Anolis sagrei: one gene and its partners. The protein of the gene in region 1 binds, or shares a complex with, the protein of each later gene. Links are inferred from orthologs where the notes say so. Each region holds a gene or a part of one and is shown in the gene's direction. Other genes may lie near its edges. The genes, in order: MTOR, RICTOR, MLST8 and DEPTOR.

Region 1 (7,950 bases):
TGTGCAATATCACGTCCTAATAATAATAATAATAATAATACATTATCTGTACATTATAACTCCCAAATAATAATAGTAAAACTTTATTTGTGCAATATCACTTCCTAATAATAATAAAATATTATCTGTACAATATAACTCCCAAATAATAATAATAATGGGCAAATATATAATATATAACATTACAAATATATAATGTTTCTCATCTGCCAATAATAAAAGATATATATAAAAATAAAAACATAATAAAATTAAAATGTAAAATAAAAGCATAATAAAATAAAAATAATACTTTATCTTTACAATGTAGCTTCCAAATAATAAATCTGTGTAATATAACTCCATAACAATAATAGTAATACTTTATCTGTACATAACTCCCAAATAATAATAGTAATACTTTATCTGTTCAATGTAACTTCCAAATAATAATAATAATAATAATAATAAGGGCCAAATATATGATATATAACATTACAAATGTATAATGTTTCTCATCTGCCAATAATAAAAGATATATATAAAAAAACATAAAAATATAATAAAATTAAAATTAAAATGTAAATTAAAACGGTGCTTCGGTCCCGGAGGTGACTTCGGCAGCCGTGATACTGCATCACATAATAAAATAAAAACAATAATACTTTATCTTTACAATGTAGCTTCCAAATAATAATAATAATAATAATAATAAATCTGTGTAATACAACTCCATAATAATAATAACAGTAATACTTTATCTGTTCAATATAACTTCCAAATAATAATAATAATAATAATATATTATCTGTTCAATATAACTCCCGAATAATAATAATAATAATAATAATAATAATAATAGGGGGTTAGGGGCAAATATGTAATACATAACATTACAAATATATAATCTTTCTCATCTGCCAATAATACAAGAAAGATATACACACACGTATTTGTGTGTTTGTGTATATATAAACATAAAATATATAATAAAAGAAAAAAGAAAAATATAAAATAAAAGCATAATAAAATAATATAATATGATAAAATATAATAATAATATAAAAACTAACTCTCCAAACTCCCTTCCACATTTACTGGTGCTAGGGACACAGGACCCCCCCCCCCCAAATGTAACTTTCCAAATATATCATGTTTCTCATCTGCCACAAAGTCAAATTCTAGTGAGAGTCAGGAGGACAGATGGCCACAACTGCTCCCGGAAGCCCTGTCCTTCCGCCATAGCCAGGCCCCTTTCTGACCCTCGTTCGGTCACCTTCTGGCAGCGGCTTCATGGCGTTGGGTTTGACGAAGAGTTTGGGGACGAAGGGGGTGTTGGAGTTGTCCACTTTCTCCCGGAACCTGAGCTGCGGGCGCAGGATGTTCCTGGCGTGGAGAAGGCGGAAGGTTTCGGGCCGGGACCGCTTGCTAGCCTCGCTGCTCTGCTGGGAGGAGACATGGGCGTTAGCACAACATCACTCCCACATAATATGTAAACAGAAGGAAGAGGAGGTTCACCTTGCGGTTCCAGCTGGAAACGATGGTCTTGGGAGGCTGCAAACCCAAAGGCAGGACCGGCTGCTGGTTCTTGTTCACGCCGGCCGCTTCATCCAAGAGCGTGCCCTGCAATTATGAAGCCATACAGTCGGAAGGGACCCCCAAAGGCCATCCAGTCCAGCCCCCTCCTGCCACCCAAGCCCTCCAACTTATACAGGGCGATCGCACTCACCACGCGCTCCAAAATGGCGTCGTTGGCATCCACCAGCAGGTCGAACTTGTCCTCCAGCTCCGTCACGGTGCTCCGGTCCCGGAGGTGACTTCGGCAGCCGTGATACTGCATCACTTTGCTCATGCTGGGAAATGGTACAGAATACAGCTTCGTAAGAGTCATGTCTACATATTGGGAAGAAGGTCCTAAGGAGGAGGAAGCAGGTTTGCTTTCTCCAGGATTCCAATTTTCTATAGCCTTATGAAGCTTCCAATGTCTGAGAGGCTGGATAGCCATCTGTCAGGAGGGCTTGGAAGGTGCCCCCTGCCTGGCAGAAGAATAGGGTTGGACTGGATGGCCTTTGGAGGTCCCTTCCAACATTCGATGCAAGACTCACCATTGGAGAAGCCGGTCTCCTTGCGTCTCACAATAGGCCTGGAAGCCAGGAAAGCTGCGGTAGAAGTCGTACTCGTCTCCCGGCTGTGGGAGGCCATTGGAGGCCTTGGTGACAGAGACCACAGAGCCCAGGGCATGCTGGGAAGCAAGGGCAGGACAACCGTCAGGAAAGGAAGCCTTGGGAACTCAAGGTAGATAGTTCAGCCTACAATTATCTATCTATCCAGTTCCACCTCTATCTATCAATTTCTACCTCTATCTATTTATCTATCTATCTATCAACTTCTACCTCTATCTATCTATCAATTTCAGCCTCTATCTATCTATCTATCCAGTTCTACCTCTATCTATCTATCAATTTCTACATCTATCTATCTATCCATTTCAGCCTCTATCTATCTATCCATTTCTACCTCTATCTATCCAGTTCTACCTCTATCTATCTATCTATCTATCTATCAATTTCTACATCTATCTATCCAGTTCTACCTCTATCTATCAATCAATTTCTACCTCTATCTATCTATCTATCTATCCATTTCTACATCTATCTATCCAGTTCTACCTCTATCTATCTATCAATGTCTACCTCTATCTGTGTGTATATATGGAAAATAAATTATAAATTATATATATATATATATATATATATATATGACAAAAATATGAATAAAATGGGAAAATTACATTATATATAAGTATATAGCATATGTATGGTGGAAATTAGGGTATAATATATAGACATTGGAAAAATAAATTATATATATATATATATATATATATATATATATATGAGGGAAAAACGTATAAAATGAGAATAATTATATAAACCATATGTATGTATATATATGGAAAATAAATGATAAATTATTAAATATATATATATGAGGAAAATATGTATAAAATGGGAAAATACATTATATATACATACATATATGCATGGTGGAAATTAGAGTATAATATATAGAAATGGGAAAAATAATATATATATTATTTACTTTATTTATATACCGTTTTTCTCAGCCCTCAGATGGCTATATGTATATATATGAGGGGGAAATTGTATAAAATGGGAATAATTATATAAACAATGTGTGTGTGTGTGTGTGTGTGTGTGTATGCAAAATTATTAAATTATTAAATATATTTATGAGGAAAATATGATTACAATGGGAAAATTACATTATATATAGGTATATATGTATGGTGGAAATTAGAGTATGATATATATAAATGGGAACAATAAACTATATATATACATATGGAAAAATTTGTATAAAATGGGAATAATTATATAAACTGTGTGTGTGTGTATGGAAAATAAATTATAAATTATTAAAAATATAAAAATAAAAAGGAAATGTTCATTTTTCAGACCTACACCTCCCAGAATCCTCCTCTCCAAATGGGGGAAAAATAAATGAATGTAAAATATAATTATTTATATCACACACTCAATATAAAACTAACTGATGGATACGTATTATATTAAGATCATAATATAATTCTCTATGGGGAAAATAAGTTAAGACAAATTAAAATAAATATATTAGAATGCATATAAAATTAATAAGCAGAGATTACACTAACACAATATAATTACTGTATATTTAATATATTTAATTTGAAATAAATCAATATAAAATAACAAAAATAACAAAATTTTATTTCAATTCAATATTAAAATAAAAAGATTCCCTTTGAGGGGTAAAACCCAAGCCCAGCAGACATAAAAAGGAAATAATAGGTAGGAAAAGGTCCTTTTGGAGGACTACACTTCCCAGAATCCTTTAAGTGAGGCCTAAGATTCATGAATTGGGCATTCTTCCCTGAAAACTACAATTCCCGGCATGCTTAGCGCGCGCATGCGCTCTCCCGCTGGGGCCTTCTCCTCCCTCAAAACTACCTTCACGAAGGCATCTGCGTCCCCAAATCCGGGCAGGACGAAGCCTTCGCGGTCGGTTTCCATTGCCGTCGCCTCGTCGGGGCCGCTCAATCCTTCCTTCGCCGCCATTTGCCGCTTTTTCTCAGCGAGCGCCGCTTCCTTCTCTCACACAGCCGCCATCTTGGAAAAGAAAGCATACTCCCGCTGAATCTCGCGAAATTTCCCAGAGACGCATTTGATTGGTGTTTCCCTAATGCCGATCTTCTTTATTCTTTCCTTTGATTGGTCTATTCCCAGAAGCCCCTCCCTCGCGCTGAGCGGAGGCGGAGAAGGAAAGGTTGTCTTCGTGGTGGGCAGGAACCAACGCCCGTCACTCACCCTAGCCGCGCCTTCCTATTGGTCTGTTTAGTATTTCGAAGAAGCTGATTGGCTAGTCAAAAGAACGGGGTGGCAAAAGGCGAAGATGAGACTGAGGAGAGAGGTGAGTCGAAAAAAGGTAATTTTTGGGAAGTAAAGAGGACATTTTGGGGGGCAATTCCCCTTCAGAAGGTTTCCCTCAACGAAGGGGAATGTCCACCACGGAATTTACCTCACAATTTACCTCAGAACAGCAAGAATATCCTTTGTGAGGTGAGTGATCATGAGAGCAGGGATAATAATAATGTTAATTACTATTAGATAACAATAATATAATAGTAATTAACAACAATAGCAGGTCTAACATGGCCACGAATATTAATAATGATAATAAAAATAGTTATAATAGTATTAATAACACTAATAAAATGGCTGATAGGGAAGAGGATAATAACAACAACAACAATAATAAAGATAATAATGTAATGAGGGCAATAGCAATAGGGTAATAATAATAATGTAATGGCAATAGCAGTAGGATAATGATAATAATAATAATGTAATAAGGACAATAGCAGTACAATAATAATGTAATAATAATAGCAGTACAATAATAATAATAGTAAGGTAATAACAATAGCAGTAGGATAATGATGATGATAATAATAATAATAAGAAGAAGAACTAGTAGGATAATAATGTAATTACAATAGCAGTAAGTAATAATAATAATATAATAATAGCAGTAGGGTTATAATAATAATAAGGTAATAATAGCAGTAGGATAATGATGATAATAATGATGTAATTACAATAGCAGCAGGGTAATAATAATGTAATAAGAACAATAGTAGGATGATAATAATAATGTAATAAGAATAGCAGTAGGATAATAATAATAATGATAGCAGTAGAGGAATAATAAGAATAATGTAATAAGAATAGCAGTACAATAGTAATAATAGTAAGGTAATAACAATAGCAGTAGGATAATGATGATGATGATAATAATAATAAGAAGAAGAAATAGTAGGATAATAATGTAATTACAATAGCAGTAGGTAATAAGAATAATGTAATAAGAATAGCAGTACAATAATAATAATAGTAAGGTAATAACAATAGCAGTAGGATAATGATGATGATTATAATAATAATAATAAGAAGAAATAGTAGGATAATAATGTAATTACAATAGCAGTAGGTAATAAGAATAATGTAATAAGAATAGCAGTACAATAGTAATAATAGTAAGGTAATAACAATAGCAGTAGGATAATGATGATGATGATGATGATGATAAGAAGAAGAAGAAATAGTAGGATAATAATGTAACTACAATAGCAGTAGGTAATAAGAATAATGTAATAAGAATAGCAGTACAATAGTAATAATAGTAAGGTAATAACAATAGCAGTAGGATAATGATGGTGATGATGATGATGATAAGAAGAAGAAGAAGAAGAAATAGTAGGATAATAATGTAATTACAATAGCAGTAGGTAATAAGAATAATGTAATAATAATAGCAGTAAGGTTATAATAATAATAAGGTAGTAATAGCAGTAGGATAATGATGATGATAATAATAATGTAATTACAATAGCAGCAGGGTAGTAATAATAATAATAATCATATAAGAACAATAGTAGGATGATAATAATAATGTAATAATAGCAGTAGGATAATATTAATAATAGCTGTAGAGGAATAATAATAATAATGTAATAAGAACAATAGTAGGATGATGATAATAATAATGTAATTACAATAGCAGTAGGATAATAATAAGAATAATAATAATAATAATAGCAGCAGTAGAGGAATAATAATAATAATAATAATGTAATAAGAACAATAGTAGGATGATAATAATGTAATAATAATAGCAGTAGGGTAATAATAATGTAATAATAATAGCAGTAGAGGAATAATAATAACAATAATAATAATAATAATGTAATAACAATAGCAGTAGGCTGATGATGATGATGATGATGATAATAATAATGTAAGCAGAAAAATAGCAGTAGAGTAATAATAATGTAATAAGAACAATAGCAGGATAGTAATAATAATAGCAGTAGGGTAATAATAATGGAATAATAGCAGTAGCGTAATAAAGATGATAACAATGTAATAAGAACAATAGCAGGATGATAATAATAATAATAATGGAATAACAATAACAGTAGAGTAATAATAATAATGTAATAATAGTAGGATAATAATATTAATATAATAACAATAGCAGTAGTATAATAATGTAATAATAGCAAGAGGGGAATAATAATGTAATAAGAAAAAATAGGATAATAATAATAATTAAATAACAATAGCAGTAGGATAATAATAATGTAATAATAACAGTAGGATAATGATGATAATAGTAATAATGTAATAAGAAAAATAGCAGTAGGATAATAATTAATTGCAATAGTAGTAGGGTAATAATAATAATAGTAATAATGTAATAAGAACAATAGCAGTAGGATAATAATAATAATAATAATAATAATAATAATAGCAGCAGTAATGACACTGCTGCCAAGGATGATGATGATGATGATAATAATAATAATAATAAAGATAATACTAATAATGTAATAAGAACAATAGCAGGAGACTAATAATAATATTAATAACACTGCTGCCTACTCGGATCTGCACGCATTATTCGCCGATACATCACATAGTCCTAGACATTTGGAAAGTGTCCAATGTGTGATCGAATACAAAAGCCAGCAGAATTATCTTGTTTGTTGTGTACCAGTCCTGTTGTGCATCAAATAATCATAATAATAATATTGATAATAATAGCAAGCCTGCTGCCGAGGATGGCGGCACTTGCTGTGTTACGTTGCGGCCTTTTTCTTCCTTTGGCTTTTTCAGAATGGTTTCCTTCTGTTTCCAGGACCCTAAAGAACCCCATAGATTCTGATCCACCACCGCCACCATGTCGGGGACCGTCATTATCCTCCAGCAGTTTGCCACCGGCCTCAAGAGCAGGAATGAAGAAACCCGGGCAAAAGCGGCCAAAGACCTGCAGCATTATGTGACCATGGAGCTCCGAGAGGTGAGAGAGAGGGGGGGGGGGCTCCGGGAATGCGGGGCTTTGAATTCAGGAGCCCAAAGGACGGAAACACGCATCCTCTTTGTGTCCGAGCAGTGCCCATGAGACTGAACTTTTTCTTCCTCTTTTCCTTTGGTGTAGATGAGCCAAGAGGAATCCACTCGTTTTTATGACCAGCTGAATCACCACATCTTTGAGTTGGTCTCTAGTTCAGATGCAAATGAGAGGAAAGGAGGCATTCTGGCTATAGGTGAGTACCTGGGTCTTCACTCTAAATCAGTGGTCTGTAGTTTAGTTAGGCTTGTCAGCCTATGACAAGTTCACAGGAAGCAGTTATAATATGATAATCTTACGTCAGTAACTGTTGGAAAGGCTGATCTGCCAGGTAGCTTGAGAAGTGCTGGTATAAAGCAAAGTAATAAAGATTCTGCACAATCTCCTTGGCCATTATGTCATGAATGACTTTTCAATAACTTTGAAACGTTGGTTCTTTTTATTGCAGATTACATAAAAACATTTAGACAAAGAATGACATTGGACATACAGATTCTA
Region 2 (8,380 bases), on another chromosome or scaffold:
CTAATACAAGAGGTAAAAAAAAAAATTCAAAAGCTGGTTAAGTTTTTAGAGAACTTGTGCAATAGATTGACTTGGAACATTGTACAATGACCATTTGAACGGCCCAGATTATGCTTGTGGATTACGTGTTTAACTCTGAATGTATTGTTTTTAAATGTTTTAATTGTTTTAAATGTACTTTTTAATTCTGTTTTAATATTTATTTAAGTGTACATTGTATTTTAAAGCATCAAATCATTGCCTATATGTAAAGCTGCCTTGAGTCCCCTCCAGAGGACTCAATGTCGTAAATAAATAAATAAATAAATAATAGTTCTATAGGTGGATTATTTTAAACCAGTGCTTTTAAAACTATCCAATGTGGGGGATTGGCAGTTTATGCCCATATCTCACAAACTGGTAGTACATATGTTAACGCTTGGCTATCTTGGAAATTCAGTTGTTTATTCGTTCAGTTGCTTCTGAGTCTTTGTGACCTCATGGACCAGCCCACGCTAGAGCTCTGTGTCGGTCATCTCCATCCCCAGCTCCTTCAAGGTCAAGCCACTCACTTCTATCCATCTTGCCCTTGGTCGGCCCCTCTTCCTTTTTCCTTCCATTTTCTCTAGCATCATTACATTCTCCAAGGTACCCTGTCTTCTCATTATGTAACCAAAGTACTTCATCTTTGCCTTTAATATCCTTCCCTCCAAAAAGCAGTCAGGCTTTATTTCCTGGAGTATGGACTGGTTTGATTGTGCAGTCCAAGGCACTCCCAGAATTTTCTTCCAACACCACAGTTCAAAAGTGTCTATCTTCCTTCACTCAGCCTTCCTTATGGTCCTGATGGCCCATATTGTTTGTCCCTTGCTGGGACCACATAATCCATTGGAAACCCATTTCAACACTTTGACTCCTGGACTCTCCTCTACAGGGGGCCCTCTCTGACGTCATCAAGGATTAGACAATAACAGCAAAGCCAGCTGGGCAAGAACTGGAATTTCAAAGTGCACTGTATAAAAATGTCTGTTTTTGACTGCAATGTATCTCAGCTTACTTTTACGGATTACTGCATGCTGGCATCATTTTGAGTTGATTGAATAAAATACCTAAGTGGCTTTGTCTTCAACTTGGTCAGCTTTATTTCTAAACATGAGGCTTTTTCTTGCTCACCATGTGCACAGACTCACAAGGACAGCTGATTGTTGGTGCAGGTTGCCACTTATTGGACTCAGTATCAGTGCCTCAGGTTCTGTATCTACAGTTCAGATCTCACTATCAGTGATGTGGAGATATTGGAACTATAGATATTTATACATATATTGTATGTACATTACAAGCACTGAAATGTAGGAAAAAAATTAGGTTCTTTCTGTATTAGGAAGCCAAGCTGACAGGACAGAAAGAATGCGGAAGGAGATCTGTGTTGAAAGTGGGAGGAGAAGGGGGGCATGTTATCTATACACTCCAAAGACTGGTACAGCTTAACACAAGCCATACCTTCTTACTTCTAAAAGTAAGGATTTTCCCTCCCTCCCTCCCTCCTAACAGGTCAAAAGTAGGCCCCTTGGTGGATCTCTATTGTTGTAAGCTGCTTTAGAAAAAAAATGAAGACATGCCTCTTGCATGTAGAAGATATAATTTGATATTTCTATCATGCTAAAGTGATGTAGTGATGATGTTACATATGTAGAAGCATGTTTCTTTGTTTGCCTGCATTTGAAGATGTAGAAAAGGGAAAGTCAACGCCTTTATCCTCACTCTGGTTTGTTTTTGGACGCAATTCCACACCAGGGTCTCAGCTGAAATGTACCTTTTCTGCCTCACACAAAAGATCACTCTTGGTATTATCTATCCTATCAGTCATAACATCAGCAGCCATTTTAAACTGATCTATTTCAATATCAAGGAGCTCAAGTTGGATTTGTTTCTGCAAGGAGTTAAAAGCAAACTTTAAACTATCAGTTAGAAGTAGCTAACATACCACACTGTTACTATTTAATGGGTTTTTAAAACTTTTGTATTGTTCTTTTTAAACTTGTCTAGTATGGATTGTTAGCCGCCTTGAGTCCCCATGGAGAGAAAGGTGAGGTATAAACAAAGATGATGACAATAATAATAATAACAACAACAAAATAATGACACAGAGATTTATAAGGTATATATAACACATGCTACAAACATATGGGTACTTTACTCTACAGTGGGGCTTAGCTACACAATGTACAGGGACTTTTCATGAATACGAAAATCTATGAAAGCTCAAGTCCTACTATATACAATGGTGAAGTAAGATGGCATTTCTTATAGAACAGATATGGGCAAACTTTGGCCCTCCAGGTGTTTTGGACTTCAACTCCCACAATTCCTAACAGCCGGTAGTGGCTCTTGTGGCTCTTGTGTCAATATATATTTACGGATATTTCAACTTTGCATTTTTCTCATTCACACACATGCACACAAACCTGCTTTGGAATGGAAATGACACATTCCTGCCTGCAATTCCCAACTCTTGTCCCTTTCTTACTCTACAAAATTAAATTTCCTAAACTCTTGGTTCTGGTTTAATTACCAAGTTTAATAACCTAGGCATTTTTCAGTATTGCAGGTCTTTCTAGTGTATTTTTGGTGCCGAAATAAAATTAAGAAAACACAATACAGTTTGCAGTATCATTCATTTCTTTGGCAATTTTTCAAACTAATTTCAATCAATGTTATTGCTAACGATTGCAGCTTATTGCTTTGGGGGTGCTGTTACCTAACCTAATTATAGTATTGCCATTTATATTCGAAAGTGTTTTAACTGTATTGCATTTTACTAGCATTTACTGTTTAAAACACAAGATTTATTTTATTTTTTTTGCAGGGATTTAGAATTGTTGCACTTTTATCTTGTGTTTATTTATTTTGTATGATAATAGCCTACGGTCTAACAATTCATAAACTGTGACTTTTAAATTTAAATTTTAAGTATTGCACCATGTATTTTACTATATGTGTTTTGCAGTGGTGTGTTTTAATATATTACATGGTAATTTATTTTACATTGTCCTGTTTTGATTGTAAGTCCTGTTTTGGGAGAAAAGCGGGATATAAATAAATAATTAATAATAATAATAATAATTATTATTATTTTCTGCCCCACCTAGAGCTGTGGGGAGAATTAAAAATATAGTAATATTACTATTAATTACTAAAACTGCTACTTTTATTTTCAATGTGTATTGAAAATATGTTTCAGATATATTTCAGATATCTCACAACACAGAAATGTCAAAGCAAATTCTGTGTGTGGGGGGCAGCTGATATGGTTTATCTAATGCAATTTTCTGAATCAGCACCCCAAAAACCCAAACCGAATCTAAAGTTGACCAAAAACTGATTCGTAAGCCTTTTGTTACTCATGTTGGAGGATGGTCCCTGGTCAAAGTGACCCTTGGTCAAAGTGGTCCCTGGTAAAAGGGGTCCCTGATCAAAGTGGTCCCTGGTCAAGGTGATCTCTGGCCAAAGTGGTCCCTGGTTAAGTGGTTCCTGGTCAAAGTGGTTCCTGGTCAAAGTGGTCCCTGGTCAAACTGTTCCCTGGTCAAAGTGGCACCTGGTCAAAGTGGTCCCTGGTCAAAGTGGTTCCTGTCAAAGTGGTCGCTGGTCAAACTGTTCCCTGGTCAAAGTGATCCCTGGACAAAGTGGCACCTAGTCAAAGTGGTCCCTGGTCAAGTGGTCGCTGGTCAAACTGTTCCCTGGTCAAAGTGGCACCTGGTCAAAGTAGTTCCTGTCAAAGTGGTCCCTGGTCAAAGTGGTCCCTGGTTAAGTGGTTCCTGGTCAAAGTGGTTCCTGGTCAAAGTGGTCCCTTGTCAAGTGGTTGCTGGTCAAACTGTTCCCTGGTCAAAGTGGTCCCTGGTCAAGTGGTCGCTGGTCAAACTGTTCCCTGGTCAAAGTGGCACCTGGTCAAAGTGGTCCCTGGTCAAGTGGTCGCTGGTCAAACTGTTCCCTGGTCAAAGTGGCACCTGGTCAAAGTGGTTCCTGGATGTTTTACCATCCTTGTGGGAGGCTTCTCTCATGTCCCCATGTAGGGAGCTGGAGCTGACAGAGGGAGCTCCTCCACGCTCTCCCCGGATTTGAGCCTGCGATCTGTCGGTGTTCAGTCCTGCCAGCACAAGGGTTTTAACCCACTGAGGTGTATCTACATTTAAGGTTTATTTTATCTGTATTGTCGAAGGCTTTCATGGCCGGAATCACTGGGTTGTTGTAGGTTTTTTCGGGCTGTATGGCCATGGTCTAGAGGCATTCTCTCCTGACGTTTTGCCTGCATCTGTGGCAAGCATCCTCAGAGGTAGTGAGGTCACTACCTCTGAGGATTTTTATTTTATTTCTCGTGTCAGGGCAGCCAGTCAATTATATTACATTTCTAACAGAACAAAGCAAACAAACAGAGAAAATACAAAATGTGTGAGTTTGGTAGTTGATTAAATATCCTTTGTCCAGTATCTGGCCACTTGGAGTGCTTCTGGTGTTGCTGCAAGAAGGTCCTCCATTGTGCATGTGGCTGGGCTCAGGTTGCATTGCAGCAGGTGGTCCGTGGTTTGCTCCTCTCTGCACTTGCATGTCGAGGATTCCACTGTGTAGCCCCATTTCTGAAGGTTGGCTCTGCATCTTGTGGTGCCGGAGCGCAGTCTGTTCAGCTCCTTCCAAGTCACCCAGTCTTCTGTGTGCCCAGGGGGGAGTCTCTCATTTGGTATCAGCCATTGGTTGAAGTTCTGGGTTTGAGCCTGCCACTTTTGGACTCTCACTTCCTGGGGTGTTCCAGCGAGTGTCTCTGTAGATCTTAGAAAACTATGTCTGGATTTAAGTCGTTGACGTGCTGGCTGATACCCAAACAGGGGATGAGCTGGAGATGTCTCTGCCTTGGTCCTTTCACTATTATTGGCTGCCACTTCCCACCTCTGAGGATGCTTGCCATAGATGCAGGCGAAACATCAGGAGAGAATGCCTCTAGAACATGGCCATACAGCCCGAAAAAACCTACAACAACCCATTTATTTTATCTATCTGCAAGGGATGGACGTGGATTTGATAGAGAAGCCTCAATCTCAAAAGGCTGTAAACATGCAGATGCTCAACAGCAGGGAGGGGGGCGGGACATTGCCTTCCTGTCAATCATTGGCTCCTTTTTTTTCCCATCTGGGATTGGGCTGCTTGAAGTGAAGCAAGCGCGCGCACAAGGCGGAGGGAGGGGGAGGAGGCGCGAGAGAGGGAGGGAGCGCGCGCACACCAGGCAGCCTTCCTTCCTCTCTCTCTCGAGTAACCAGGCAAGCCAAAACCTTTCCCTTCCCCAGCTCTCGCGAGAGTGGGCGAGGTTTCCGGTGTTGTGAGTGCGGCGCCCGTCAACATGGCGGTGAACCTCCGCGCCCGGTCGCTGAGGCACCTCCGCATCCGAGGTGAGCTTGGCCGAAGCCGGGAAGGGGAGAGAAAGAGAGGGAGGAGGCAAGGACAAAGAAGGCGGCGGCGGCGGCGGCTTCTCCCTTCTCTTCCTTTCCCGTCGGGTCCGCGGCCCCTCTTCCTTTTCCCCATCTCTCTCTAACCCAGATCTCGTTTTCCCCTCCCTGTTCCCCACACAGGCCGGAACGACAGCGGCGAGGAGAACGTCCCCCTCGATCTCACCCGAGGTAATTGGGGAAAGGAGAGCGGGGAGGGGGTTGCGTCTCTCTAGGCGTGTGTCTTCAGAATGGGAGTGAATGGGAAGCCGGAGATGCAGGCATGGGAGGGAGGGAGAAAGGAGGGCGAGGCCTGCCTGGAAGCCTTCCCAGGCTCAAGGAGGGCTCGAGGTGCATCTTTCGGGCAGCCGCTACCCCCTCCTTCTCCGCAAGAGATAGAATGGTTTATTTATTTACCCCACTCAGAGCGGCTTCCCAAATGGCAATAATTCAATGCCACACTAGCCGTCCCCTGCCACGCGTTGCTGTGGCCCAGTCTGGTGATCTGGAAAATAAAGTAATGGTTTATAATATATGTAATTCCTTTATGCTTATGGGTAAACAGTATTTCTTCTTGTTTCTATGTCAGTGTTGATGTGGAGATTGTCTAGTTTGCCTACTCTGAAACTTGCAACATATAATTGTCCTTATTATTATTATTATTATTATTAACTTTATTTGTACCCTGCTAACATCTCCTGATGTTAGCGCCCCTCCCCCCCAGTGGCGCAGTGGGTTAAAGCACTGAGCTGCTGAGCTTGTTGACCAAAAGGTCACAGGTTCAATTCCAGGGAGCGGCATGAGCTTCCGCTGCCAGCCCTAGCTTCTGCTAACCTAGCAGTTCGAAAACATGCAAATGTGAGTAGATCAATAGGTACCGCTCCGGCGGGAAGGTAACGGCGCTCCATGCAGTCATGCCGGCCACATGACCTTGGAGGTGTCTATGGACAACGCTGGCTCTTCGGCTTAGAAATGGAGATGAGCACCACACCCCAGAGTTGGACATGACTGGACTTAATGTCAGGGGACAACCTTTACCTTTACCTAACATCTCCCGAAGGACTCGGTGCAGCTTACAAAGGCCAAGGCCCTCAATAAAATAATAGCATAACTAATACAACAATAAAACTCATAAAACAAACCAATAAACATTAAAGCAATAACAGTAAAACATCAAAAACAATAGATCATGACACATTTAAAACTAGCGCCAGGCCAAATGTAATGAATAAGTTAAAAGTGCTGGACATGACAGCTGAAATGTGGCCCAGTCTGGTGATCTGGAAAATAAAGTAATGGTCTATCTATCTATCTATCTATAAATGCTCTGTGCATAATGAGTTCCTTAAAAACAAATGAATCAATGAACGAAATCACACCAAATTTGGCAACAAAATGTCTCACAACACAAGGAGTGACCATCACTTGAAAAATTATAATTTTGTCATTTGGGAGTTGTAGTTGCTGGGATTTATAGTTCAACTCCATCAACGATGGAATTGAACTAAACTTGACACACAGAACTCCCTTGACTAACAGAAAATACTGGAAGGGTTTGGTGGGCATTGGCCTTGAGTTTGGGAGTTGTAGTTCACCTACATCCAGAGAGTACTGTGGACTTAAACAATGATGGATCTGGACCAAACTTGGCACAAGCACTCAATACGCCCAAATATGAACACAGATGGAGTTTGGGGAAAATAGACCTTGACATTTGGGAGTTGTAGACACTGGGATTCACAGTTCACCTACAATCAAAGGGCATTCTGAACCCCACGAACGACAGAATCGGGGCAAACTTCCCACACAGAACCCCCATGACCAACAGAAATTACTTAAGGCCATCCAATCCAACTCCCTTCATCAGGGCAGGAAAACGTAAACAAAGTCCTCCTGACAAAGAGCCATCCAGCCATAGATATAGTTAGATAGATGGATAGATATGATTCACACACACAGATATATAGTATCATAGATTTGAAAGGGACCCTTAAAGAAGGACAATGATATGTTGCATGTTCCAGAGTAAACAAACCAGACACTCTCCACATCAACACTGACAAAGAAACAACAAGAAATATTGTTTACCCTCAAGCATCAAGACATTACATATATTAGAAACCAGTACTTTCTCATTCCCTTTATTTTCCAGATGAACAGACTGGGCCACAGCAACGCATGGCAGGGGACAGCTAGTAATATATGTGATTCCTTTATGCTTATGGGTAAACAGTATTTCTTCTTGTTTCTATGTCAGTGTTGATGTGGAGATTGTCTAGTTTGCCTACTCTGAAACATGCAACATATAATTGTCCTTCTTGGGATCCTTTCAAATCTATATTATATCTGTGTGTGTGTGAATCATATCTATCTTTGTCAGGAGGGCTCTGATTACATTTTCTTGCCCTGGTGAAGGGAGTTGGACTGGATGGCCTTAAGTATTTTATGTTGGTCATGGGGGTTCAGTGTGGGAAGTTTGGCCCAATTCTGTCATGAAAATCATGAAACACTAACATTCATAACCAAAAATCATAATCCAGGAGCCGTTCCAATCACATTGCCATTCACTTCGTGGCTGCATACAGCCCAGTGCTACTCTCCAAACGCTTCACCATATGCCCCTTCACCATAACCATAGAATAGGAGAGAGCGGGCCCACCTGGGGAGGGAGTTTCATAGCTAAGGGGCCACCACCGAGAAGGCCCTGTCCCTCGTCTTTGTCAGCCGCACCTGTGAAGAAGATGGGAACGAGCAGGGCTTCCCCAGACGATCTTAGTATCTAGGTTGGTACATGGGGGAGATACATTCAGACAGGTAAGCTGGGCCAAAACCATTTAGGGCTTTATAGGCTAAAGCCAGCAGTTTGAATTGTGCTCGGTAGTAGACTGACAGCCAGTGGAGCTGAAGTAGCAAGGGTGTTGTATGCTCCT
Region 3 (7,680 bases), on another chromosome or scaffold:
CAATTTAGAATAAAACTAAAGAGATCAGGGAAAATACACAGACCAGTTAGATATGATCTCACTAACATTCCTAGCGAATATACAGTGGAAGTGAAGAACAGATTTGAAGGACTAGATTTAGTAAACAGAGTCCCAGAAGAACTATGGACAGAAGTCCGAGACATTGTTCAGGAGGCGGCAACAAAGTACGTTCCAAAGAAAAAGAAAACCAAGAAGGCAAAATGGTTGTCTGCTGAGACACTGGAAGTAGCCCAAGAAAGGAGGAAAGCAAAAGGAAACAGGGATAAGGGGAGATATGCCCAGTTAAATGCGCAATTCCAGAGGTTAGCCAGAAGAGATAAGGAACTATTTTTAAATAAGCAATGCATGGAAGTGGAAGAAGACAACAGAATAGGAAGGACAAGAGACCTCTTCCAGAAAATTAGAAACATTGGAGGTAAATTTCAGGCAAAAATTGGTATGATAAGAAACAAAGATGGCAGGGACCTAACAGAAGCTGAAGAGATCAAGAGAAGGTGGCGAGACTATACAGAAGATCTGTATAGGAAGGATAACAATATCGAGGATAGCTTTGACGGTGTGGTGAATGAATTAGAACCAGACATCCTGAGGAGTGAGGTTGAATGGGCCTTAAGAAGCATTGCTAACAACAAGGCAGCAGGAGACGACGGCATCCCAGCTGAACTGTTTAAAATCTTAAAAGATGATGCTGTCAAGGTGATGCATGCCATTTGCCAGCAAATATGGAAAACACAAGAATGGCCATCAGACTGGAAAAAATCAACTTATATCCCCATACCAAAAAAGGGAAATGCGAAAGACTGCTCAAACTTCCGTACAGTGGCCCTTATTTCTCATGCCAGTAAGGTAATGCTCAAGATCCTGCAAGGAAGACTCCAGCAATACATGGAGCGAGAGTTGCCAGATGTTCAAGCTGGGTTTAGAAAAGGCAGAGGAACGAGAGACCAGATTGCCAATATCCGCTGGATAATGGAGAAAGGCAGGGAGTTTCAGAAAAACATCTACTTCTGCTTCATTGACTATTCTAAAGCCTTTGACTGTGTGGATCATAATAAATTGTGGCAAGTTCTTGGTGGGATGGGTATACCAAGCCACCTTGTCTCTCTCCTGAGGAATCTGTACAAGGACCAAGTAGCAACAGTCAGAACTGACCACGGAACAACAGACTGGTTCAAGATTGGGAAAGGCGTCCGGCAAGGCTGCATACTCTCACCCAACCTTTTTAACTTGTATGCAGAACACATCATGCGATGTGCGGGGCTGGATGAATGCAAAGCTGGGGTGAAAATTGCTGGAAGAAACATTAACAACCTCAGATATGCAGATGACACCACTCTGATGGCCGAAAGCGAGGAGGAGCTGAGGAGCCTTCTAATCAAGGTGAAAGAAGAAAGCGCAAAAGCCGGGTTGCAGCTAAACGTCAAAAAAACCAAGATTATGGCAACAAGAATGATTGACAACTGGAAAATAGAGGGAGAAACCGTGGAGGCCGTGACAGACTTTGTATTTCTAGGTGCAAAGATTACTGCAGATGCAGACTGTGGCCAGGAAATCAGAAGACGCTTACTTCTTGGGAGGAGAGCAATGTCCAGTCTCGATAAAATAGTAAAGAGTAGAGACATCAGACTGGCAACAAAGATCCGCCTAGTCAAAGCCATGGTATTCCCTGTAGTCACCTACGGATGTGAGAGCTGGACCTTAGGGAAGGCTGAGCGAAGGAAGATCGATGCTTTTGAGCTGTGGTGTTGGAGGAAAGTGCTGAGAGTGCCTTGGACTGCGAGAAGATCCAACCAGTCCATCCTCCAGGAAATAAAGCCCGACTGCTCACTGGAGGGAAAGATACTAGAGACAAAGTTGAAGTACTTTGGCCACATCATGAGGAGACAGGAAAGCCTAGAGAAGACAATTATGCTGGGGAAAGTGGAAGGCAAAAGGAAGAGGGGCCGACCAAGGGCAAGATGGATGGATGGCATCCTTGAAGTGACTGGACTGACCTTGAGGGAGCTGGGGGTGGTAACGGCCGACAGGGAGCTCTGGCGTAGGCTGGTCCATGAGGTCACGAAGAGTCGGAGACGACTGAACGAATGAACAACAACATGATCAATAATATATACCCTGGACTTTCCAGAGATATATAAACCCAATTTTCCTAGTTTCCAACAGACCTCACAACCTCTGAGGATGCCTGCCATAGATGCAGGCGAAACGTCAGGAGAGAATGCTTCTTGAACATGGCCATACAGCCCGAAAAAACTTCAAAAATCCAGTGATTCCAGCCATGAAAGCCTTTGACAATACATTACTGTTATTAATGTCAAGTCAGGGGCGACTTGAGAAACAGTGTGAGAGAATTGGCTATCTGCAAGGGTGTTGCCCAGGGGACGCCTGGATGTTTAGATGTTTTACCATTCTTGTGGGAAGCGTATTTCATGTCCCTGCATGGGCAGCTGGAGCTGACAGAGGGAGCTCATCTGTGCTCTCTTCAGATTTGAACCTCCAACCTGTCGGTCTTCAGTCCTGCTGGCACATGGGTTATTATTATTCTATTATTATTATTCTATTATTATATTGCGATATTATTATTTTAATCTATTATTTAGTTTGTTGTTCATTCGTTCAGTCGTCTCCGACTCTTCGTGACCTCATGGACCAGCCCACGCCAGAGCTCCCTGTCGGCCGTCACCACCCCCAGCTCCTTCAAGGTCAGTCCAGTCACTTCAAGGATGCCATCCATCCATCTTGCCCTTGGTCGGCCCCTCTTCCTTTTACTTTCCACTTTCCCCACATTATTTAGTATATTAAATTATTTAGTATATTAAATAATTATTTAGTATATTATTATTATTATTGCTTTTTTTATATCCCGCTCCCTCCCCTGATGAGACTCAGAGCAGCTTACAAAAAAAAAGAAACAAACAATAATAAACACACTGTCAAAAACAGCCTCAAACAGAGAAGAGTTATTTCTCCTACCCTGTACATTATTTCATAGATATATAAACCCGAATTGCCTAGTTTACAACAGACCTCACAACCTCTGAGGATGCCTGCCATAGATATGGGTAACGTCAGGAGAGAATGCTTCTGGAATATGGCCATACAGCCCAGAAAACTCACAGCAACCCAGTGATTCTGGCCATGAAAGCCTTCGACAACACAATGTCAAAAATAACTCAATAACAATAAAATAAACAAGGCAAACACAAAACATTGTTGCTGTTATTGTTGTTGTTGTTGTTGTTGTTGTTATGAATTACCCCCTTCTAGCCATCTGTCCCATCCAGGGCTGGGCAAAGATGATCCTTCCAGATATTATTATTACTATTATTATTATTGTTACTAGATTATTAATATATTACATTATTAATAATGTTATGTGGGAAAGAGAAGATCTCTCCACTTAATATTATTAGTACTAATATAATAAATTATTATTTTTATTAGCCTCTTCTAGCTTTTCTGCTTCATTCAGAATTATGAAGAGCAGATTCCTTCACTTATTAATATTATTAGTACAATATAATAATAATAGTATTATATTGAATTACATTATAACATCATTATCAATATTACATGTATATGCATTATATTAGCATAGCACAATATTAGTATTATACATTACTATATTAATAATATTACATGTAATATATAATATACAATTATTATATATAATTATAAAGTACTATATTATTATTATTATATATAATACACTATTAGTATATTATATTATTGGTATCATAACATATATTGTACTATTATAAGTTGTCGTATATATTATATATATTACAACATTATTATTATATATATTAGTATTATTACATTAAAATGTTATTATTGTATGTATACCTCTCTTAATGCATTGCATATATATGCATGTGTGGTGGTGCAATGCATTAACAGAAGTATATAAATATATACATATATATATACACACACATTGTATATTTACTATGTATATATGCATACTCCTATTAATTTGTCTTATTGTTTGCTGTCTGAAGTCCCTATATTGGAAGCCAGACAGGATTTATGATTTATGCATTATCATAAATCATCATTTTCTATATCAAAAACATCATCATCCAGGGACTGGAGGCTTGGGTGAGCTTCCCTGACAGACGCTACTGCGCATGTCCGAGTTGGGCCCTGCTCTGGCTTTCCCACTCTCTGCCGACAGGTGTCGCTGCTTCCCTATGGGGCGGCCATAGAACTAGGAACACTTTCCCATGTGTTCTAGGGTCTCTTCTGCGCATGCGGACTGGTTTCCTCGTTTCACATGCGCACTAGGTGCCCAATGGATGCTCGTGTGCGCATGCGCCGTGGCTGTCTTGTTCCTAGTCTGCCTGTCTGCCCAGTAGTCCTTCCTTTAATTCCGAAGGTAAGTAGCAATTCCCCCACCCAAAATATTTATATTTCTTATACTTACGTTTGTGTAATTTCTGAGCTCAAGGTTGTCCATTTTCTGCCCTAATTTATGCTGACAATGAGCCCTGCAAGATGGGAATAAGAGGCTCAATGAGGACCAGAAGCTTGGATCTCCCAGCTTAAGGGCCTCTAAACTCAGAGACCCTACAACAACAACAACAACAACAGTAATCATAATGATGCAGACTGTGCATTCCTTTTTCCCAAATACTCCAAAATGATCCCCATTTGCGAGAGTTTTAAAATGCATTTTATTATTTTAATTTCTCTTTGCTGTAATGTCAGAAGGTCCTTAATTGTTTATTATTTCAATGCATGTACATTGCTTCATTGAGTAGTTTTTAATGCCTTTTTAATATGTTTATGTCCATTTGCTTTAATGATGGAAAGGGCCAATTTTTATTTTTATTTATTTATTTAGGGTATTTCTACCCCACCTTTCTCCGCAACTGGGACTCAAGGTGGCTTACAGCATACCAACATATAACATTCATCATAAAAAGGTAAAACCATAATAAAAACATCGATACATAAAATAAGGTAAAAGCAATAGCCTCCCCCGTGTTTGCTTCCCTATGTACCAACATTAAAATCCCTAATATCCTCCCATACTTCAGTTAAAAGCCTTATTAAACGGAAAGGTTCTATGCTTCTATGCATGTACGTCACTTCATTGAGTAGTTTTTAATGTATTGTACTATTTTATATGCATTTGTTTTAATGGCAGAAAGTGAGGGTAGAGGAAAGGATGGGAAAGGAAGGAAGGGAGAAAGGAAGGAAGGAAGGAAAGAAGGGTGAAAGGCTGGAAAAAAGGAAGGGGGAGAGAAGGAGGGATAGAAGGAAGGGCAGGTCTATGAGGGAAAGCAAGGGAAGGAAGGAAGGGAGAAAAGGGAAAGAAGGGCAAGGGAGAGAAAAAGGAAGAGGAAGGAAGGAAGGACGGACGGATGGGTGGAAGGAAGGAAGGGAAGAGAGGAAGGAAGGATGAAAGGTTGGAAAAAAGGATTTGGGAGAAGAAGAAGGAAGGATGGAAGGAAGAAGCAGGGAGGTTGCATGAGGGAAGAAGGAAGAAAGGGAGAAAAGGGAAAGAAGGAAGGAAATGGGAGACAGAAGAGGAAGGGAGAGAGGGAGGGGGAGAGAAGGAGAAGAGAAGGTCGAAAGGCTGGAAAGAAGTGGGAAAGAAGGAAGGAAGGAAGGAAAAAGCAGGGAAGGTATAAGGGAAAGCAAGGGGAGAAGGAAAGGGGAGAGAAAAAGGAAGGAAGAGGGAGAGAGGAAGGAAAGAAGGATGGAAGGAAGGAAGAGAAAAAAGGAATGAAGGAAGAGGGAGAGAGGAAAGAAGGAAAAAAGAAAAGAGCAGAGAAGGTGTATGAGGGAAAGCATAGAAAGAAGAAAGGAAGGGGGAGGGGAAAAAAAGAAGGAAAAAAGGAAGGAAGGGAAAAAAGAAAGGAAGGAGAAGGTGTAGGAAGGAAACAGAGAGGAAGGAAAGAAAGAACCATAAAGAAGATGAAAACTGGAGTCCAGTAAGAAAGACCTTTGTGTGGATGTTTCCTCAGGCCACAGAGGCATGAACACCGCACAGGGCACCGTGGGCAGCGACCCAGTCATCCTGGCCACCGCTGGCTATGACCATACTGTCCGCTTCTGGCAGGCCCACAGCGGGATCTGCACCCGGACCGTCCAGCACCAGGACTCTGTATCCTTTGGCTGCATGGGAAGGCAGAATGCTGGGGTTTACAACCTTCCTAGGGGTTTTTTGGAGGGCTGGATGGGGTTGCCTTCTGTTTGCCCCTTAACCCCTTTTGCCAGCAGGTCAATGCTCTGGAGATCACCCCGGACCGGACCATGATAGCTGCAGCCGGTAAGGATGCCATCTGCAGACAGCATGGTGTAGCATAGTTTGTGTGCTTATTACATGCTTTCAAGGGAGCATCTACACTGTGGAATGAACACAGTTTGACACCACTCTTAACCCCAGTGGCTCAGTGCTACTTTTTGAGCTTCTCTGTCAAAAAGCACAGGTGCCTGACTGATTTCACAGCTTCAAGCCAGGACAGTTAAAATAGTGCCAAACTGTATTACCTTCAAAGTGTAGATGAACACCGAGTCCACTCTAGCCGTATAGTTTTATTCTTAAAATCTTTTGTCAAAGAGGCAATGTTTCTTGATGTTTTACTTTCTTTCCTTGTAGTGCTAGAAGTCCACGTTATAGAGATTGAACCATTCTTGACCCACTTCAAGTGCATCATTCTACACTGTAGAACGAATGCAGTTTGACATTGCTTTAACTGCCATGGCTCAAAAATATAGAGTTGTAATTTTGAACTTTTTGGCAGAGAAGATGAAAGACTTTATAAACATACATCTGCAGAATTCATTAGCATTGAGCCCTTGTAGTTAAAGCAGTGTCAGGCTGCATTCATTCTACAGATGCACCCTGGGTCAATAATTATGTGTTTTTGAGAATGGCTGCCTCTCTCTGAGAAGTAGAATTGCACCTGAACCCTCTTATTTGTGATGCTGGCATTAATAAATAACTTCCAGGCCTTTGGGAGCTGAGATGGTGTCTCTTCTGCAGGCTACCAGCACATCCGGATGTATGACTTGAACTCCAACAACCCGAACCCCGTCATCAACTACGACGGAGTCAGCAAGAACATCACCTCAGTGGGTTTCCATGAAGATGGGCGCTGGATGTACACTGGGGGAGAAGACTGCATGGCCCGTATCTGGGACCTCCGGTTTGTGGCCTCTTTCCTCTCCTTAACCCTGATGGGGCTTTTGCACAACACTGTCATCCCACTTAGCATGGCAACAGGACCCTAGGATATCCAGTTCAGGAGGGGCAGCTAGAATTCTCCCCCAGAGAGCTCTAGTGCCTCATCAGACTACAGATACCAGAATTCTCCAAGTGCAGAACGTTATTAAATGTGAAATAGGCACAGAGCATGGAATGCAATTCACCAATGCTTTTTTAGATCCACGGTGTGGACCCAAGAGGGCACACTTCTGCAAATGTGCTGCATTCCTCTGCCTTCACACATTATAATGTATATTATATCTGGGTATAATATATCCATTGGATTGTTGACCTTCACCCGTCTGGAATCGATTTCTGCTTTCCAGGTCACGCAACCTGCAGTGCCAGCGCATCTTCCAGGTGAACGCACCTATCAACTGTGTTTGCCTGCATCCTAATCAGGTATTTATTTGTTCCAGAGTGGTGGAGAATGAGGCCCT
Region 4 (8,003 bases), on another chromosome or scaffold:
GTAATAACCTACGGATGTGAGAGCTGGACCTTAGGAAAGGCTGAGCGAAGGAAGAGAGGTGCTTTTGAACTGTGGTGTTGGAGGAAAGTGCTGAGAGTGCCTTGGACTGCGAGAAGATCCAACCAGTCCATCCTCCAGGAAATAAAGCCCGACTGCTCACTGGAGGGAAGGATACTAGAGACAAAGTTGAAGTACTTTGGCCACATCATGAGAAGACAGGAAAGCTTAGAGAAGACAATTATGCTGGAAAAATGGAAGGAAAAAGGAAGAGGGGCCGACCAAGGACAAGATGGATGGATGGTATCCTAGAAGTGACTGGCTTGACCTTGAAAGAGCTGGGGGTGGTGACGGCCAACAGGGAGCTCTGGTGTGGGCAGGTCCATGAGGTCACGAAGATTCAGAAACAACTGAACAAATAAACAACCAAAAAAGGTTTGTGTATATTTATAGTTATTTAATATCCCAGCATGAAATGCTTGCCATATATTTATTTATTTACAATGTTTATACCCTGTCCTTCTCAACTTCCAAAGAGGGACTCAGGACAGCTTCCAACAGGCAACTATTCAATGCCAACACAAAATAATAACATAACATAAAACACAATTAACATACATTAAAAAGTTATAAATATACATTAAAACAGTTTGCCAATTCAAATTGTCATCCAAATCAGTCCACTGTGGTCCACTACAACCTTATCTTCACCAGTAAATTAGTCTATTCTGAAAACGCTTGATCCCACAGCCAGGATTTGAATTTCTTCTGGAAGATCAGGAGGGATGGGGCAGATCTAATCTCATAATGGAGGGAGATACACAGCCAAGGGGCCACCACAGAGAAGGCCTACCTCTCATCTCCACCAAACGTGACTACGGTGGCGGTGGGACTGAGAGCAGGGCTTTGCCAGATGTTCTTAAGGTCCTTGGTGATTCCTAGAGGGAGATAAGTTAGGACAGGTAAACTGGACCAGAACCGTATATATATTGTGCTCTATCCTGAGTCCCCTTCGGGGTTAGAAGGGTGAAATATAAATGTTTCAAATAATAAACAATAAAATATTCAAATATCTGTCATATCATGCCCCCCTCTTAGCTTTCTCTTCCCCAGGCTCAACATACCTAGCTGCCTAAACTGCTCCTCATTAGGCTTGGCTTCCAGACTTTGCTGGGAGCACTAAGCTATATTTCAGAGGAAGGACCTGTCCAAATCCTCTCTGAGTATCCCTTCCCTAAATAAAAACCCTATGGAAATCCATAGGTTTGCCCTAAGTGATCAGACAACTTGAAGGCACACAAGGGGTTCAGCTACACTGAAGAATTAATTGAGTGTGGCCACACTTTGCCTGCCATGGCTTAATACTATGAACTCTTGGAGTTTTATACAGTCTTGAACCTTCTCTGCCAAAGACTGATGGTATCTCACCAAACTTCAGATCCTATGACTCCATAACATCAAGGCAGTTAAAGTGATGTCAAACTGTATCATTTCTACAGTGTCTCCCAAAAAAGCCTACCAACCTATGGGGCTGTTCTCTTGCAGGCACATGAAGGGAACATCTCCATTGCAGAATTGATACAACTTGATTCTACTTTGACTCCCATAGCTAAATGCTATGAAATCCTGGGAGCTGTGGTTTGGGGAGTAATCAGCATTCTTTGACAGAGAAGACATCTGATTTCTCCCCAAACCACAACTCCCTTGCAAAACTGCCAACCCCATGATTCCACAGTAATTGAGGTAGTATCCGACTACATACATTTAATATGTTGGTTTATTTTATATTTTTTGTGCTGCTTTGGCTGTCTTAAGTTAATTTTGTTGTTTATCTTAATTAATTATTGTTTAGGGTCTGCACTGTTCTTGTGTTGTAAGCCACTCCCGAGTCCCCTCTGGCAGGGATGGCATGGGATACAAATAAAGATGATGATGATGATGATTATTATTATTATTACTACTAATTGTACAGTGCAGATGCACCCTAGGAATTCATCTTTCCCTCATCAGCAAAGCGTCTTCCTGAGGTTAGTTTTTGTTTTTGTTTTTGTTTTGTTTTTTTGTCAGGAGCGACTTAAGAAACTGCAAGTCACTTCTGGTGTGAGAGAATTGGCCGTCTGCAAGGACATTGCCCAGGGGACGCCCAGATGATTTTATGTTTTTATCATCCTTGTGGGAGGCTTCTCTCATGTCCCTGCATGAGGAGCTGGAGCTGATAGAGGGAGCTCATCCGGCTCTCCCCGGATTTGAACCTGTGACCTGTCGGTCTTCAGTCCTGCCGGCACAGGGGTTTAACCCACTGCGCCACCGGGGGCTCTTCCTGAGAAATATGGCATTGTAGAAATATGGCAGTTTGACACCACTTGAATTGGCATGGCTCAATGATATGGGATTGGGGGAGTTATAGTTCGGTGAGGCAACCCACACTCTTTGGCAGAGAAGGCTAAAGACTTTGCAAAATAGCAAATTCCAGGATTCAATAGCATTGAGCCAAAGCAATTGGAGTCCATTTTGAAGTGGCCATGGTGGTCCATGCTCTTGCTACATCAAGGATAGACTACTGCAATGCACTTTACGTGGGGTTGCCTTTGAAGACTGTTTGAAAGCTTTAAGTGGCCCAGCGGGTGGCAGCCAGATTTCTAACTGGGGCAGCATACAGGGAGCACACAACTCTCTCCAGTCTGCTACCGAACACAAATCAAAGTGCTGGATTTAGCCTATAAATCCCTAAACAATTCTGGCCCAGCTTACTTGTCCGAACATATTTCCCTCTATGATCCACCTTGGAGATTAAGATCTTCTGGGGAAGCCCTGTTCTCAATTCCACCTCCCTCGCAAGTGCGACGTGGGGACAAGAGACAAGGCCTTCTCAGTGGTGGCCCCTCGGCTATGTAACTCCCTACCTAGTGAAATTAGAGCAGCCCCCTCCCTCCTGACATTCAGAAAGAAAGTAAAAATGTGTTCTTAGTTCAATAAAAGTTCTTAGTGCAATAAGAGAACAAGGAATAGTGAACGAACAAATAGAACGAGTATGGATTAGATTTTGAATGGCATGATTCTAATAACTTTTTAAATAGTGTTGTTGATGGGTGAGTTTTAATATAAATGTTATTGATGTTATTTTATGTTTTATGTTTTAATTTGGTTAGGTCTTTATGTTATTGTCTAGCTATTATGTTTTGGTTTTTACAGGTATGCACGGCATTAGATTTTGTCTTTATTATGTTAGAAACTGCTTTTGATTTTCCTCATCAGAAGCAATAGATCACACCAATTGAAAGGTTGGCAGTTTGAAGCCCAGGTCGGGGTGAGCACCTGACCTTCAGCCTAGCTCACTGTCCACCTAAGTAGTTCAAAAACAGCTGTGAGCTATGAGTAGAGAAATTAGGCACTGCTTAAGCAGGGAGGTATTTTACAACACCAGAAAAGAAATACCAGAAAATGCCAGCAATCAAAGGAAGGAGGTCTACCTATGATGTCAATTACAGGCCTCTCCCATCTTTTGAAGTGGGAGAACTTGTACAATCTGTATCTGACTAAATACTTTTTTCCCCCACTGTGATCCATCCTGAGTCCCCTTTGGGGTGATAAAAGTGGAATATAAATGCTGTAAATAAATAATAAAAAAGCAGTATATAAACCAACCCAGAGGAAAAGTGTTCCTGCCATACATCAAGGGAACCACTGACTGCATAGGGAAGCTGATGAGGAAACACAACATACAAACTATCTACAGACCCACCATGAAAATTCAACAAATGCTACGTTCAGCAGAGGACAAGAGGGATCCTCTCACTTCTTCAGGAGTCTACCGTATACCATGCAGCTGTGGACAAGTCTACATAGGGACCACCAAACGCAGCATTGCCCAAACACGAATCATGGAACATGAAAGGCACTGCAGACTATTTCAACCAGAGAATTCAGTCATAGCAGAGCACCTGATGAACAAACCTGGGCACAGCATATTATTTGAGAACACAGAAATGCTGGACCACTCTCACAACCACCATGTCAGATTACACAGAGAAGCCACTGAAATCCACAAACATGTGGACAATTTCAACAGAAAGGAGGAAACCATGAAAATGAACAAAATCTGGCTACCAGTATTAAAAAAAAACTCTAAAATTAAAACAGCAAAACAGCAGAGGGAAAACAATCAGGGACATCTAATCACCTCTCAACAAAAGATTGCTCCAGGCACTGCCAGGCTATCAAATGCTAGTGAAGGTGGTCAGTTGAAACATTCACGCCTAGCTCCAGCAGACAAGAGTCCTTTGGCCCACCCTGGTCTTTCCACAGATATATAAACCCATTTTCCTAATTCCAACAGACCTCACTACCTCTGAGGATGCTTGCCATAGATTCAGGCGAAACGTCAGGAGAGAATGCCTCTAGAACATAGCCATATAGCCCGAAAAAAACCTACAACAACCCAGTATATAAATGCAGTAAATAAATAAATTCTACAGTGTAGACCAGTTATGGGCAAACTTTGACCCTCCAGGTATTTTGGACTCCAACTCTCACCATTCCTAACAGCCTCAGGCTCCTTCCTTAAGCGGCTGAGGAGGGAAAGGAAATGGCCTGAGGCTGTTAGTAATGCTGGGACTTGGAGTCCAAAACACCTGGAGGGCCAAAGTTTGCCCATGGCTGGTGTAGACGCCCCCAAGGAGAAAGAAGCCTTGAGTACACCGGATTGACAAAGGGAGGCGCTCTCCCCTTGACCCGCTTTTGGGGTGCGCGCATTTGGAGAGCAGCAGCAGCAGAGGAGACGAGGGGCTGGCTCTCCCCTGCCATTATATGACCCAGTGCAATGCGGTTAATGATATGACAGGGTCGATCCAGCCCAGGAAGGATTGAACGGAAGCAGAGGGAGGGGAGGGAGAAGGAGAAGAGAGAGAAAGCCAACCCAGAGAGAGAGCTTTCCCCAGCTCCTCCTCGCTTTGGCAAAGCGGCAGCTGGATCCTGCAAAAGGCAGGCAGGCAGGCAGGCAGGCAGGCAAGCGCGCTTCCTCCTTCTTTCTCCTCTTTCTCCTCCTTTGCCTCGTTGGACCCTCTGCCCTTTGCCCCTTCCTCCTCTTGTGACCTGGAGCTGAACCAGTTTGCTGTTTGACACCGAACCGCGTCGGGATGATGACACGCGTTTGACACTGGAAGGCACTGGGAAGATGGCTTTGGGGCTGGACGGAGGGGGACGCTGCTGCTGCTGCTGCCTTTGGGGCTGGAGAGCTTAGGCTGGGGCTTTGCTGCATCCCAAACCTGTCACCAGCCCAAGGCTTTCCAAAGGGAAGGAAGAAAGGAAAGAGGAGGCTGCTCCCCTCCTGCAATCCAGGTGAGTCCAAGGAGAGAAAGAAAGAAAGAAAGAAGGGCATTTGGGGGAGAGGGCTTTGCAATTCCTCCTGCCAATCTCTCCCCCCCCCCCCTTGCATGACACCCCAAAGAGCCAGTGTTAGGACAGATCTATTCCTTGTATTGCCTTTCCCTTGTAAATAGCACCCAATGGTTAAGAAATAGCATGATTGGACAGCAACTGGAAGCAAACTGAATTAGAGAATTAGAAGCAGGTTAAAGAACCAAACCACTACCATTATTATTATTCTTTATCACCTGTATCCTGTTCGTCCCAATGAGAGTAAATGAATTGGATCTATGGGGTTTTGCGATAGCTTGGCTCACCACTCAGGAATTGGTTTGGTGGGTGTGCTCTTGCAATGCCTCACCCCCCCCCCTTGCATGACACCCCAAAGAGCCAGTGTTAGGACAGATCTATTCCTTGCATTGCCTTTCCCTTGTAAATAGCACCCAATGGTTAAGAAATATCATGATTGGACAGCAACTGGAAGCAAACTGAATTAGAGAATTCAGTGGGAGCTCTTGCACACCCACCAAACCAATAGGATTCAGGCTATTGTTATAACTATTGCTGTTCAGAAGGTGTACAAAACTGGTACAGTGTTATTATTGATTGATTATGATGATGATGTCATTGGGTAGCTGTGAGTTTTCCGGGGCTGTATGGCCATGCTCCAGAAGCATTTTCTCCTGGCGTTTCGCCCACATCTATGGCAGGCATCCTCAGAGGTTGTGAGGTCTGTTGGAAACTAGGCAAGTGAGGTTTATATATCTGTAGAATGTAGAAAGAATTCTCATCTGCTAGAGATAGGTGTGAATGTTGCAATTTGCCACCTGCAATGGCCTGCGGTTTGCTAGTTGCTGCCTGGGGGAATCCTTTGTTGGGAGGTGCTAATCAAGGTGGCATATTGCAACATTCACACATACCTCAAGCAGACAAGAGTTCTTTCCCCTACCCTGGACATTCCACAGATATATAAACCTCACTTATTTAGTTTCCAATAGACTCCTCAGCCTCTGAGGATGCCTGCCATATATGTGGGTGAAATGTCAGGAGAGAATGCTTCTGGAACATGCCCATGCAGCCCAGAAAACTCATAGCAACCCACTGATTCTGGCCATGAAAGCCTTGGACAACACAATGATGTCATTGTTGCTCAGGTCCTGAAGGTGGGCAAAAAAACCCCAATTCGACTAGTGTTATTATTATTGATGCCCACAAGGTGGACAAAAGAAAATATATTTGACTATAATAATGATAATCATGGGTTGTTTTTTTTACTGATGTCTGGTAGGTTGACAAAAGAAGCTAGATTGGACTATTATTATAAGTATTGATATTGCTGAAGTCCATAAGAAACTATTATTAATACCACTACTATTATTTGATGCATAAAAAGATTAGCACACAGCAAACAAGATCGCTATGCTGACTGTTATTATTATTATTGCTATTATTATTATTACTACTATTATTATTGATTTCCTGAAGGTGGACAAAAGAGACTGTATTTGACCGTTGTTGTTGTTGTTATCAATGCCCAGCAGGTGGACAAAAGAAGCACACATAGACTTTGTTGTTATCATTATTGTCTAAAAACTAACATCTCCCAAACTGTCTGGGGCAAAAATGATTCCATTGATTTAAGGGTTATTTTTTTTTAAATGTATCTGTTTTCTTTCTCTCTCTTTTCTGGGCTGCAGAAGGGATTGTGCATTGAAGGAATGTGTGGGTCTGCAAGGAACATTAATTTAATTAAAGGACTGGGAAGGCTGACAACTTGTTAAGCCAGAGAAGAAAGGCATTTATGGGCTGCGAATTGCGAAAGAGCTGGAGGCTAGGATGTGGACTGGGCTGCAGGAAGCGAAAAAGACAAGAGATTGATACATCACATTTGCAATTAAATCAGGGAGGAGGGCATAACAGCCTTTTGGAAAGCTGCCTCTGGAGATGCAGGTTGCCAGGGAATGGGAGGAGAGACCATCCTTACAGAAGGAGAATCTAGATATGGGTTGGCTGGATGTTACAGTAAGAGCATTGCGATGGAGGGGCAGAATCGAGGGCATTGCTTCCCAAATTGAATGCTGCCACACCCCCAAATGAAATATTTGATCACTCCCCAAACTTCTAGTATTGCAGTCATTTAAAGTTCCATATAAAAATTAGAAATGCAGTTTAGACATCCAAAGAATAACCATACCAGTAAACTGCCACTATCCCTGACTGCCCAAATAGCTTCATGCAATAAAGTCCTTAGAGTATGAAAACAGTGAAACAGGATGGATATAAGTGAGAGATGAGTACAGAATTATTAAGGTGTTGACAATAGGTGACACCGGAAAGGGGGAAATATACATGGAAACGTATTGTCGAAGGCTTTCATGGCCAGAATCACTGGGTTGTTGTAGGTTTTTCCGGGCTATATGGCCATGTTCTGGAGGCAATTTTTCTCCTGTTGTTTCGCCTGCATATATGGCAAGCATCCTCAGAGGTAGTGAGGTCTGTTGGAAATAGGAAAAATGGGTTTATATATCTGTGGAATGACCAGGGTGAGACAAAGGACTTTTGTCTGCTGGGGCTAGGTGTGAATGTTAAAAACTCAAAAATTACAACAGCAAAACAACAGAGGGGAAACAAACAGGCACATA

The links.
Region 2: the proteins of MTOR (region 1) and RICTOR are in contact, whole or in part, in a cryo-EM structure (PDB 6ZWM), measured with the Homo sapiens proteins. The link is inferred for Anolis sagrei from reciprocal best matches to the Homo sapiens genes MTOR and RICTOR. Residues at the interface, in NP_001373429.1 of Homo sapiens: Arg1028, Asp1032, Lys1068, Leu1069, Asp1108, Asp1109, Tyr1110, Asp1150, Lys1187, Asn1196, Val1200, Gln1207, Asp1210, Val1211, Cys1214, Arg1215, Lys1218, Gly1219, Tyr1220, Thr1221, Leu1222, Ala1223, Glu1226, Glu1227, Asp1228, Leu1230, Ile1231, His1234, Arg1235, Arg1238; in NP_689969.2 of Homo sapiens: Leu204, Arg205, Gly206, Asn209, Arg245, Asp247, Val248, Glu249, Glu251, Arg252, Leu254, Thr258, Asp259, Phe260, His261, Tyr262, Arg263, His264, Ser265, Pro266, Asn306, Gly308, Ser311, Gly314, Val315, Cys317, Ile318, Pro319, Glu345, Ile347.
Region 3: the proteins of MTOR (region 1) and MLST8 are in contact, whole or in part, in a crystal structure (PDB 4JSV), measured with the Homo sapiens proteins. The link is inferred for Anolis sagrei from reciprocal best matches to the Homo sapiens genes MTOR and MLST8. Residues at the interface, in NP_001373429.1 of Homo sapiens: Leu2269, Arg2270, Met2271, Ala2272, Pro2273, Asp2274, His2277, Leu2278, Thr2279, Leu2280, Met2281, Gln2282, Val2284, Glu2285, Val2286, Glu2288, His2289, Asn2292, Asn2293, Glu2536; in NP_001186102.1 of Homo sapiens: Tyr20, His22, Asp42, Ser43, Gln44, Val45, Asn46, Tyr62, Asn87, Glu105, Gln148, Thr174, Arg221, Tyr222, Leu224, Ser268, Arg270, Gly271, Trp272, Trp274, Ser290, Lys313, Val316.
Region 4: the proteins of MTOR (region 1) and DEPTOR are in contact, whole or in part, in a cryo-EM structure (PDB 7PEC), measured with the Homo sapiens proteins. The link is inferred for Anolis sagrei from reciprocal best matches to the Homo sapiens genes MTOR and DEPTOR. Residues at the interface, in NP_001373429.1 of Homo sapiens: Met304, Gly305, Phe306, His1494, Cys1498, Trp1501, Gln1525, Asp1527, Ser1528, Glu1530, Glu1531, Cys1534, Met1535, Ile1536, Arg1538, Arg1547, Gln1554, Leu1556, Leu1559, Gln1562, Cys1563, Lys1566, Arg1683, Leu1685, Asp1686, His1687, Lys1710, Ile1711, Phe1714, Gln1715; in NP_073620.2 of Homo sapiens: Arg54, His56, Leu57, Lys58, Thr59, Tyr60, Pro61, Val101, Arg116, Lys119, Asp121, Gly122, Thr123, Phe124, Lys131, Ala132, Arg135, Arg138, Lys142, Glu177, Gly178, Glu179, Glu185, Cys304, Asn305, Lys307, Gly335, Asp336, Ala337, Val338.

The regions. Positions count from the first base shown.
Region 1 is NC_090033.1:7,029,973-7,037,922, forward strand, and holds the start of MTOR (serine/threonine-protein kinase mTOR), read left to right. Parts: upstream 1-4,369; 5' UTR 4,370-4,449; exon of another isoform or gene 4,450-4,464; intron 4,465-4,475; exon of another isoform or gene 4,476-4,598; intron 4,599-7,239; 5' UTR 7,240-7,281; coding exon 7,282-7,401; intron 7,402-7,539; coding exon 7,540-7,648; intron 7,649-7,950. Other genes in the region: EXOSC10 (exosome complex component 10), read right to left, coding at 1,256-1,424, 1,498-1,602, 1,709-1,832, 2,085-2,221, 3,990-4,097. UniProt on the Homo sapiens protein: Serine/threonine protein kinase which is a central regulator of cellular metabolism, growth and survival in response to hormones, growth factors, nutrients, energy and stress signals.
Region 2 is NC_090022.1:277,985,131-277,993,510, forward strand, and holds the start of RICTOR (rapamycin-insensitive companion of mTOR), read left to right. Parts: upstream 1-5,269; 5' UTR 5,270-5,365; coding exon 5,366-5,414; intron 5,415-5,594; coding exon 5,595-5,642; intron 5,643-8,380. UniProt on the Homo sapiens protein: Component of the mechanistic target of rapamycin complex 2 (mTORC2), which transduces signals from growth factors to pathways involved in proliferation, cytoskeletal organization, lipogenesis and anabolic output.
Region 3 is NC_090034.1:21,490,186-21,497,865, forward strand, and holds the start of MLST8 (target of rapamycin complex subunit LST8), read left to right. Parts: upstream 1-4,306; 5' UTR 4,307-4,399; intron 4,400-4,867; exon of another isoform or gene 4,868-4,949; intron 4,950-5,996; 5' UTR 5,997-6,007; coding exon 6,008-6,136; intron 6,137-6,249; coding exon 6,250-6,301; intron 6,302-7,018; coding exon 7,019-7,181; intron 7,182-7,566; coding exon 7,567-7,642; intron 7,643-7,680.
Region 4 is NC_090024.1:21,849,178-21,857,180, reverse strand, and holds the start of DEPTOR (DEP domain-containing mTOR-interacting protein), read left to right. Parts: upstream 1-4,757; 5' UTR 4,758-5,334; intron 5,335-8,003. UniProt on the Homo sapiens protein: Negative regulator of the mTORC1 and mTORC2 complexes: inhibits the protein kinase activity of MTOR, thereby inactivating both complexes. DEPTOR inhibits mTORC1 and mTORC2 to induce autophagy.